Drosophila melanogaster: one gene and its partner. The protein of the gene in region 1 purifies or fractionates together with the protein of each later gene. This does not show direct contact. Each region holds a gene or a part of one and is shown on either strand. Other genes may lie near its edges.

Region 1 (7,181 bases):
TACGAGTGCGAGTAGGTGTACTTACCACTTTTTTGTGTATATAAATGTCTCAGTCATGTGGCTCTTTTTAGGATTTGCCACAAGAGCTTCCACGTCAACTACCAGCTGAAGCGCCACATCCGGCAGCACACGGGAGCTAAACCATATACCTGCCAATATTGCCAACGCAACTTCGCGGATCGCACTTCCCTAGTTAAGCATGAAAGGTAAGCAAAGAATACATAATTATTCCAGTAAAAACATTTCTGTATCTTTTGGAACCTCTATTAATTAACTACAAGTAGAGACTAGCTAATTAATTGTATTTCCTCCACAGAACCCATCGAAATGAGCGTCCTTATGCCTGCAAGACCTGCGGAAAGAAGTTCACATATGCCAGTGTCCTTAAAATGCACTACAAGACGCACACGGGCGAAAAACCCCACATGTAAGTGGTTTCGGTTTTAAACTAAATCAAACCTAAAACTTATCACGTTGCTATTATTACTTCAGATGCCAACTCTGCAACAAAAGCTTCGCTCGCATTCACAATCTCGTGGCGCATCTGCAAACGCAACAGCATATAAATGATCCACGACTGACTGCCTATCTAAGTACCTTTAAAGTGGGGATTACTGTAGCTAATGCTTAATAATATAATATTTATAAGATCGCGACATTTTACCTTTGCTTAAAGCCTAAAACTTTGTATATACGACCTTTGTTATATAAAGTTTGCTAGAAAGATTTCATGAAACTAACTAAAAAGCATTCTAAAAAAAAAAACAAACTGTTTACATTTTTACAATTTATTCTTTTACTTGACTTACTTGCAAAGCGGTACGCAATCTTTTTTCTTTGTTTTGTTCTTTTCTAATTTTTGTTTTACAAAATTTTACAACTTTTATGTGTTGTACGAGGGAAATGCCGAAAAGTGATTGATAAGTGCTGACTTGGCGCTGGTGTTCGAGATAATTGTAGTGTAGGAGGATTATGAGGTCGGTTGTATCCGTTAACAAAATTAAATAACAAACTATGAACTTGGATTGTGTGGGGGCAACGATGACCGGACTGGCTGGCTGATGGCCTTTGCACAGCAAAGAAGCATCTACTTGGCCACCATGCGTATCTTGTCCTTCAGCAGATTGCGCAGCTCGGTGACCATCAGCTCGTGCGAGTCCTTAAAGGTGGCCGAAACGTCGCCGATGAGCGTGGCTTCCACCTCCGGCTTCAGCGACATGTCAGACATAAAGGAGCTGAGGTCGCGTGGCAAAACGGGCGCCTTCCAGGAGCCTAAGGATTGCAGAATCATACCTTAGTTTATCTTTGGGCGATTTGTCTAGAGCCACTTACGTATGGCCGTGTCGCAGGCCTCAAACTTGTGCTTCAGCTGTCGCATCAGCTCCTGCAACATCTGGCTGCGCTCCTTCTCGCTGATCGGCTGCGGTCCATCCACCTTGTTTTCCACCGGCTTCTTCTTGGTCTTGGTCTTTGAGCTTACCTGCAGCTTGTCGTTCAACACGGACAGAAGGAAGGCGTACAGCGATAGCATCTGGAAAAGTTATAAGAACATTGGTGAATTTAAGATTACCTGCTTTTACTACCAACATTTTACCTCTAAACTGGCTGCCACTTTCTGCTGCTGACCTCGCCGCTTCCACAGACCGTCAATGCCGTTGCTTTCGTTGCTCTCGTTGATGGTCTGCACGCACAGCTCCATAGTCGCAATAACATTGTCACCCACCCGCTTGCACTGCTCGGCCAGCTTTGCCGACCCGCTCTGCAAGTCAAGGACCAACTGGGCAAGGTCGTCAAAGAAACGTTCGTATGGCATGTCGAGCAGCAGGTGAAGACGTGTGGGCAGCAGATTGACTAGAAATTTTTGCGCCAACGGCTTGTAGTTCATCACGCGCAATCTCTGGAATAATCCCGTCCAGGACTCCCGCAGGAGCTCCAAGGTGGCCGTCTCTGCTCCCGCTGGCGAATCCTTTAAGCCCGCGCCGTGGTACAAGTCGATGAAAGAGGCAAAGAGTCGAAGCATCAGCGAACGTACTTGAAGCACCTCAACTTCCTGGTCGAACGACTCCCTGCGCTCCTCCGCAGCGTCTACCTCATGTAGCGGATCCCATCGGATAATGGCCCCTAAGTCGCGATTGTCGCTCAACTCATGCCAAGCGATCCGGTCCTCCGCCGGCTCAATACTCATCGCCACATATGCGGATAGATTCTGCGTGATATTGCCATAGCAACTAACCAAGTCACAGATCTGCGCCTCCACCGAGCAGGCCACGTACTGCAAGCTGTTGGTTAACCGCTCCTTGAAGTTCATGAACTCCTCCATTTTTGAAAACGTGCAAAAGCGATATGTTAACGCAATGTATTCCAGCCTTTCCTTATAGCTGTTCGTAAAAAACTTTAGGGTGGCATCGTACACGTTACGATTGCCCGAGAAGCGACCTCCAAGAGCCAACAGTTGGCAGTGCACATAGCCCATGGAGTCCAGCTGAATCTGCTTAATGTCCAGATACTCATACATCTCCTGTGCGCCCACTTGGCAGCCAAACAGATGGTAGATCTTTAGACTTAGCAGTTTCACGTGGAAGTTACTCGTACTGTTTCGCAGAACATACTGCAGCAGGCACAGCGCCTCGAACAGGTGATCCGACTTATTTTCCCGCCTACTCAGATCGTACATTACATTTGCCGCCAGCAGTGCGTATGCATCCGATGGTCCCATTTCCGTAGCCAGCAACTTCTTACCGAAAGTAGTCCTGCCGTGCTCGTAGTGCAGCTTGAGCGCCGTATAGAAGGCAAGCAGGTGGTCCGCAGGCAGATCCATGTGGGATCCGCACATTCGAGAGATTTGCAGAGCGCAAAGATGTTTTTGCAACTGCTCTTTCTACAATAATCATATACCAACAATCGTTAGACTCAAAGTTGAATTTATAATTTTTGCGTACTTACATTTTTTGGAAGCGACGTGGAGGTTACTCCGCTCTCCAACAACAACTTGCTGGCTAGCGCTTGCCTCTGGTTCATGCTGATCGAAGGCAAGAACAAGGCGATATCGTGAGTGCAGCACGATTTGTCGCCGAACAGACGGAAGTACTCAATGACCATCTCGTCAAAGTCACCGATTAGTTTTTCCGCCGGCAATTGCTCCGCTCGCATGCGTTGGTGTAGCTCCAACCGCGCCAGATAGGGTCCCCTTTTCTTGCGCTCCGAGGAGTCAATGATGCGCTGAAGGAACTCCTGACACCTGGCCAGAGAGTCCTTATCCCCGTTCTCCACGCCCTGCGGCGTAAGTTTTAGCAGCTCGAACGAGCTTTGGATATACTCCTTGTAGAAGTCCCAACGATCACGACTTGGGGATAAAAAATAAAACTTAGAAAACGTAGTTATACATATGAACTTATTGTTTAAGCTCACTCTGCGTCCAGCAGCTGCTGCAGCAGCTCATTCAATTCCCGCCAGTTTCCCAGCTCCTTGAGCAGCTCGAACTTCATGCTGACTGGAGCACCGGGGTACAGCTTCGCGCACAGCTCACCAGTAAGGAATTCCCACGCCTCCTGGTACTTGTTTTGTAGCTTAAGTATGTGCAGATAGAGGAAGGCCTCCTGTTCCGTCTCCATTTTGCCCTCCTTGATGTGCTTGTCGACCATGCGTTGCGCCAGTCCCAAGTAGATTTTCCGCTTCTCGGGCAGCGCCGATTCCGGTCCACGGATTCCCTGGAAGACTACGCTGATCACCGACCAAAAGTAGTAGGCATTTTTCGGCTGCGCCTTGTACAGCTGCAGGGCCACCGCCTGCTGCGCCTTGTAGTCCTCCACCCTCACATGTGAGATGAAGAGGTGGGCGAGGAGCTCCTCGTTGCCCGGATTCTGCTTCACAGCGTGCTGGTACAGCTCCACAATTTTGTCCACTGCAAAGAGGCCGATATTTATATATTATTAGCGATTTCAACTTTCGCAGGTACAGGTATCTATATATTCAGATCGTTGGCACGCACTTGCCACTCGTCGTCCGACTAAGAGAATGCGATTTTAATTAGTCGGGCGAGGTGCGCGTGCCAAGAAAATACGAAAATATGAATTGTGGCCACTTCGTGTGCGTAGCAGGGGCGTCTCTAGGGGATTCACAGATGTGGCTAAGAAACATTCTTACTTAAAAATGTTGCTTTGTATTCGTCAATCGAATTTAAAAAAGCTCAACAAATTGTATCCTTTGATCGACCATGGTTTCGTATTTAAATAACTTAAGTAAATATTAATATTATCTTTAAATCTATACTTTAAAATATTTTGTATATACATATACATACATATACAAGCATTTAACTCATGGATAAGGAAGCTATTCTTTTTATAAAATTTCAATTCTAGAATGCCTGTAACCTTTACACATTTGAAAGGAGAAATCTAAATCCTTAATTATTATCTATACATACAATGAGTCCTTGCCTCACACAGGCATTTCGTTTTTAGATTTAAAATTGGATATTAACTTACAAAAGGTTCTTCATAACTTAAAAGTGTGCTTCACAAGTCAAATTCATAAATGAAACTAATAATTTATAGCCTATCAGGAGCTACTTGTGAACAAATTAGTTATTTCTGATGGCTGGTGCCCTTCTTCATCGCGTTAGAACGAGAGACTAGGTTCGTGCTTTAAGAGTTTATGGCTAGTTGGTTATATCATACTCCTAAATAACTTCTACTTGAGGTAATGTACCTCCTAGACCATGCTTAGTACGTTATCAATCTTGCATTTGACTGAACCTAATCCCCAGCAAACGGTGGCTCCACGTGGGCTCAGTACATCAGCCCTGCCGGTGGTTTACCCATACGTACGTTGTTCCATTTCGCGGTAGCAGAAGGACAGCACCTGCAGCGTGGAGTCGTCCGTGGGCTTCTCCTCGGCAACGGTCTGGAGGCATCCGTGGCTTTCGTCATAGCGTCCCAGTCGCAGGAGCGAGAGGCCTTTCAATGCCCGCGCGCAGAGCAGGTTGGGATGTTTGCGTAGCAACTTCTCGGATTCCTGCAGAGCCTTGCGATTGTTGCCCACCTCCAGGTTGTCTGCAAAGGATTGGGATGTTAGTCTGTGAGACTGTGGACCCGGCACATGGAGCGCCTCATTCCGCCGTGGACACGGACAACACACTCACCGTATACCGGCCGCAGTCGCCGCTCGAACAGGGCCGAGTCCATGCCCTGCTGCTGTGCCATGTTATCGTGTTATGTGGTGCTGCTGTATGCTGCTAACCTAATTACAACGTGCTGCATGCACCTCGAACTGAGACTCGCTCTCTTTTGGGTTTTGCGGCACGCTGTCGTCTGCCGTTGATTAATTTCCTGCAATCGTTTGGGGGCTCTCCTTGGGTTGCCCTCGGTGTTTGGGCGGTCGGGGACGGGCGGCTGGCTCTCGGGCACTCGAATCACACGGTCGTAGGCTAATTATGTGCTTATTTTCATAGAAACTAGTGACTTTAAATTTTATTCAAAATAAAAAAAACCTCAGACTGCATATTCGGTGAGAAGAGAGCGGCCCCTGTATTTTCTCCAGTATTTTCTGGTATTTTTCGAGAAGAGCATGCCGACATTAGGGGTCTTCGCTCAAATCACAAATTTAAGCCATCAAGATACTCTTATTGGGAAACTTTTAAAATTCCATTCAATCATTCTGCTTAGAATTTTAAGGTTAGAATATGTCTTGTACAAAAGTGAATTTCTAATAGTAGTTTTTAGTAATTTTGTTATTATCTATGATCAACAAAGTATTGATATTCTTCAAAAAGTAGAAATGTTCATAACTGTAATTCTTTATATTTCAGATTAAGTTTTCAAAAAAAACTTAAGATTTTATAAAAACAGTGACAAGAGTACCCCTACCGCTGGGCACTTTGTCCAACAGCTGAGCGATAGAGATGGACTGATATATTCTCACGAATGGTAGCTTGCCAGCGAACGATGAATGGCAGAAAAGAGTTTATCAATTTATTCGAGTGCCAATTAGATAATTTAAGCTTTGTAGTTGCACGGCGCACCGGACAGGTTGATTAGAAATCGTGAATGAGTCAGCGTGAGTCACGCACCTGCCACGCACCACGCCAGTTGCCCATCTCTAGCTGCTGCCCCCGAAAGTCGAAAACGCGTAAAGTTTTCGAATAAAATGCAGAGATTAGCCGATTAGGCGGCGCGCGGGCTCGTAACCAAACGTTTTGAAGTATTAAACTACCGATTAAGAAACACATCCACTTAGTGAAATAGTTTAAGTAACCGCCCGAGCACCGTTATCGCCGCTTTTCCGCTTTTCCTCGCTGCCAAATTGCGCTGCATGTCCATTTTTGGTGAAGAATTTCTCGCCAAAAATCTTGCCCTTGGCCGGACGCAATGAGCGATGAGATTTAACTGGCTGAGCGAGTACGTGGCCAGCATATCAAGCAGCATTGCATCGACATCCCCGTGGCGCCAACTGCAGCAGCAGGTGCAGCAGCTCGTCCCCAATCCTCAGGCCATCTACTGCCGTATCAGGTCATCATCCGCCGAAGCACTGGAGCACGTACTGATCGCCTGTGCGGTGTACTTGCTAGTATGCCTGGGCCTCTACAAGCTCACCTTCTGGCTCTCGGGAGCCGGATCGGGATCGGGACTGGACGCCCACCACAACGGCAACGACACCAGCAATGCCGGGTCGGGCGAGGGGGCAGAGCTGAACCCAAGTTCGGATGGCAATCGGAGTCCTGGCGGCCTGAAGCAGGCCCTTCAGTCCGGAATACGGCTGCGTAGCGTCCGGCTGCCCAAAACGGCGTGCATGGAGCGCGTCCTGCTGATCACCGCCCATCCGGATGACGAGTGCATGTTCTTCGGACCGCTGATCTACTCGCTGACGCAGCGCCAAGGCTGCCAGGTGTATATACTCTGCTTGTCCAACGGTGAGACCACCAGCAGTGACATCATCCCCAAACCACCAATAGATCTGGAAGCATTAAACGAAAGTACACATTTCGAAATCAGTAGCGAATCTGACTTAGCTTTATTGCTGCCATATGGGCACAGCATTCTCTTTGTGTTAGCCAACAATCGATTTCGTGCAATATATGTAGTCCGTATTGGAATTTTTAATAATCTTTAAATGTTATATATTCCTGCCCATTCTACTGTTATTATTTTAATTATTGCAAAGATTCAGGGGCTACACCGATG
Region 2 (4,056 bases), on another chromosome or scaffold:
CTTGGTGGAGGAGCTATTCAGCAATGGGACCAATTAACTTATGTTTCAACAGCGTAACCGAAGCCCAACTTCTCCAATGACCCATAGAAACATAACTTAATGCCCATATATGTATATATGTAGGACATCAATGTTGGCCAGCACTGATAAGCACTGATCAATCAATCCAAGCCTCCATTGCTTTTTGTTTAGGTGGGCGATTGCCGTTCTTTGCCAGCCGACAAGGGAGTCCAATTGTCCCGTCTCTGATGATGCCATCTCGCTCTATTTCCAGCACGCTGCACCTAAACCGTGGTCTGCACGTTCTGCACGGCCTTCGAGAGCTCCACCTTGGAAGGTATCAGATAAAATGCAGGCGTCATCGTCTCCCCGCACGGACACTTGCAGGCTGCAATAAATTAGGAGGAATGAGTGGGGGGCGGGATTATCGGCTGGTGGAGCAGCATAGCCAACCGTTGATCCAGCTAAAGTTTCCCAATTTCTGCTCGCACTTGGGACAGTACAGGCGGCCCTGGGTGTTCAGCATGATGCGGTGCATCCAGGCGATGGGCTCCACAAACAGTATGCTGCGGCAATAGTTTGGCGTGCTTTCGTGGCCGGGTGAACCGAGTGATGACTGGCGGATGCGCTCGGACAGCTGCTCCAGCATGCGAGCACCATGATGATTTTCGGCCTGATCATGTGACTGAGCCGGCAGCTTAGCTGCAGCGACTTCTTCTTTCTCCTTGGGTACCACCTCCTGCGGCGGCCTGTCACGCGGCTTGTGCTCCAGTACATGCGACTTGGAGGCGAGGACGCGGCGGCAACGACGACAGCGGAACACTATGGGCTCCGGGTTCTCGCGCGTTATATCTGGATCCGGACGGACCACGCTGTGGAAGCTTTGCGGCAGGATCTTGGCCTTGCGCATCTGCTCGCCAGCCAGGCGCAGGCGATGGATCTTGTAGCGCTGGCAGTTGGGGTCAATCTTGCAGCCCATGCGCCGGAAGAGCTTTAGTTGGCTGACAAAGCCAGCGTTTGGCTGGACGAAGCGCCGTTTGGCCTTGACCAGCTCGTAGGCGGGCAGGAAGTCCAGATTGTGTCGCTTCATCATGTAAGCGATCACAGTGGATGAGCTGCGACTGACGCCGAAGTAGCTGTTGGAAGGCACAAAGAGTCAGTGGCCAAATCGTGGGCCGGTCAGCCTAGGTAAGATGCTCACCAGTGCACAAGGACATTGCCCTGCTGGGCCAGGGCCGAGCTGATAAAGTCAACGCAGCCCTCCAGATGCTGCAGAATATCTTCGCGCGGCATGTCGGCAACTGAAACAGGGATTAACGCCAGTGAAGTTGTTGCACATTCACGAAGCTACCGATCTGTGTGCTTACTCTGTATATATTTGGTGGTCAGAAAGCTGGCCTCCAGAATGTGCTGCGGCAGCGGGACCGAATCCAGCGTGAGGATGTGGGTGATCTTGAAGGAGCGCAGCGTCTCCATGTGCGTCGCCGCGGTCAGGTTGCCTGGTGGTGTAAGGAAGGGTTGAGAAATGCATCGATCACAAGGATTAGAGCTATATGCTTACCTAGAAACAGGCCTGTGTCCACCTCGTCGATGCTGACCGGTCCGCCGTCGAAGTCCTCGCGCGTCAGCACCCCGGAGTCCTGGGCCTTGCCACCCCCCGCGGAGGACGAAGGCCACGCCTGCCGTTGAGACTGAGACTGTTCCATGGCCAGGCAACAGATACCAGCTGGAGGCAGAGGAAGAAGAAGAGCGAGGACAGGACCTAGCGTGGAAATGGAAGTGCTAGTAGTGTGACCGCGGCTGCATTGCGCGGTAACCGATTTGTGGGAAAGCTCGCTTCCAGGCTATCGATAACTTGCCATCGACCGCGGCGCATCTCTATTGCCGGCGAGTATAGCAATTTTATAGGAGCAATAAAAAGGATCGGATTAGCCGAGATTAAGTGATAAGATGACCACGTTGCGACCCTTCACCTGCGACGACCTCTTTAAGTTCAACAATGTGTGAGTACAGTGGATATCCACATGCGCATATCCGAGGCTAATACCAATACCGCCGTGTGCTCCGCCAGAAACTTTGACCCACTTACGGAGACCTACGGGCTGTCCTTCTACACCCAGTACCTGGCCAAGTGGCCGGAGTACTTTCAGCTTGCGGAGTCGCCCAGCGGACAAATAATGGGCTACAGTAAGTACTGCATTTCACTGTGTGCACGAGTTCCCCTATCAAGTGTGCTCTACATTCTCTAGTCATGGGCAAGGTGGAGGGACACCTGGACAACTGGCACGGACACGTGACTGCGCTGACCGTCTCGCCCGACTACCGGCGCCTTGGTCTGGCTGCGCTGCTCATGAGTTTCCTGGAGGACATTTCGGAGAAGTAATTCCAGCCCCAATTCGTTGGATATCAATACAGACTAAACGACTACTTTTTCTCGCCCCCAGAAAGCGAGCATACTTTGTGGATCTTTTTGTGAGGAAGAGCAACCAGGTGGCAATAAACATGTACACGAACCTTGGCTACATCATATACCGCACCATACTTGAGTACTACTCCGGCGACCAGGACGAGGATGCGTACGGTGAGAGCGCACAGAATTTGCATTGACTTCTAAGAGGCGCCTAACAATCGATGCTTTACCCACTTTGCAGACATGAGAAAGGCCTTATCCAGGGACGTCAACAAAAAGTCGGTCATACCGTACACGCAGCCTGTACGACTGGAACATATAGATATGAATTGATACGATATCAACCCAGTAGCGCCCGAAAACGCATTTATGTCTAACTAATCCCGATCCACCATTTGAAATGGGCGCGAGCGCATCACTTCGCAGCCCATTGAATTCTAGTTAATTTAGCAATGTAAATAACCCATAATCCCGTGATCTGCCCGGTGATAACATGCGATTCGATTATGACCGGATTCCCATCCCGCTTGCGAACCAATCCCCCGGCGCCAGTATTTGCGTGCATTATTTCCCAACCGAAACTAAGCCTGTAATTAAGTTACATGACCGCTCCGTTACCAAATTCAGCACAAATTCTCGATAATTCTATTGACTTTGAAATTATTTAAAGATTTCGTAAGCCGATGCGTAAATAACCACAAACACAAAGATTGTTCCACAGTTCTGAAGGTAAATAACGTAAGCAACTTGATTACTTCATCATCGTAAATGACAACCAGTATCTAACGCCAACGCTATGACCACCCATCTAGCCCGCACACGATCCTCTGACCATATCCAGTTTTTTTTTTGCAGATCACAATGCGCGAGCTGCGCAGACAAATGCGACACGATCACTAAGTGGAACGATTCGCGGCGGATGTGGGCATAGCCACAGCCATCGCCATCGCCATCGCCATGTGCTTTATCGACCGATTCCCATTTACTAATGTGCTGCTGCATAGAAAACCATTTTGAGAATAAAAAGAAAATAAACCCCCTGGCATATAAAGTTCAATCTGTATTTGATTGATTGATTGGAGGAAAGCTGACTTTCAACACACCTTATAATAATGTCCTTGTGGTGATGTCCTTTTTTTTAGTGCTAGCAGAAGGATAGAAAAGTTTTCGGGTTTATAATAAATACCCTGTATTATATGGGTAGCTTCCTAGCTCGACTCAGCAGCTCCTGCGCATTTGTTACCCCATTTGGGAACTGGGATTGTTGATTGATTGATTGTGCCAAAATACTGAGTGACCTTTTAAGTCCTGGCAACCACTGTTTGATCAATAGCTGGTTGGGTGTTTAGTTCGGTATCTGATTGATGGCCCATTCAGTGCGCAAAAAATGGCGAAGAAGGGAGGAGTCCAGCAGCTTCAGGCCGACCTCGCCTCGGATGAGGAGTTCGAGAAGTTCCTGCAGCGATCCGGATTGCTGGGTACGTTCTCGATGCGATGGTTAGCCATTAGTCCACCCAGTAATCTCGCTCTAATCCCTGAGTGCTTCAGTGCTCGATATATACTCCGAATGGTGCGGTCCCTGCCTCGGCATGGTGGGTAGCCTGCGGAAGATCAAGCTCGAGCTAGGAGGCGACAACCTGCAGTTG

The links.
Region 2: the proteins of psidin (region 1) and Naa20A purify together in Drosophila melanogaster (affinity purification with western blotting; 2 studies listed by BioGRID, with this or other methods). This does not show direct contact.

The regions. Positions count from the first base shown.
Region 1 is NT_033777.3:20,020,077-20,027,257, reverse strand, and holds psidin (phagocyte signaling impaired), read right to left. Parts: upstream 5,555-7,181; 5' UTR 5,205-5,554; coding exon 5,144-5,204; intron 5,055-5,143; coding exon 4,830-5,054; intron 3,902-4,829; coding exon 3,409-3,901; intron 3,344-3,408; coding exon 2,944-3,343; intron 2,879-2,943; coding exon 1,595-2,878; intron 1,532-1,594; coding exon 1,333-1,531; intron 1,273-1,332; coding exon 1,088-1,272; 3' UTR 776-1,087; downstream 1-775. Other genes in the region: CG4424 (uncharacterized protein), read left to right, coding at 1-11, 72-206, 317-427, 493-631; PIG-L (phosphatidylinositol glycan anchor biosynthesis class L), read left to right, coding at 6,376-6,910.
Region 2 is NC_004354.4:19,620,860-19,624,915, reverse strand, and holds Naa20A (N(alpha)-acetyltransferase 20 A), read left to right. Parts: upstream 1-1,841; 5' UTR 1,842-1,950; coding exon 1,951-2,003; intron 2,004-2,071; coding exon 2,072-2,187; intron 2,188-2,249; coding exon 2,250-2,379; intron 2,380-2,444; coding exon 2,445-2,581; intron 2,582-2,651; coding exon 2,652-2,713; coding exon of another isoform or gene 2,714-2,743; exon of another isoform or gene 2,744-3,148; intron 3,149-3,251; exon of another isoform or gene 3,252-3,265; coding exon 3,266-3,310; 3' UTR 3,311-3,465; downstream 3,466-4,056. Other genes in the region: MKP-4 (MAPK phosphatase 4), read right to left, coding at 285-388, 454-1,136, 1,202-1,301, 1,368-1,499, 1,562-1,706; CG14221 (uncharacterized protein), read left to right, coding at 3,798-3,888, 3,959-4,056.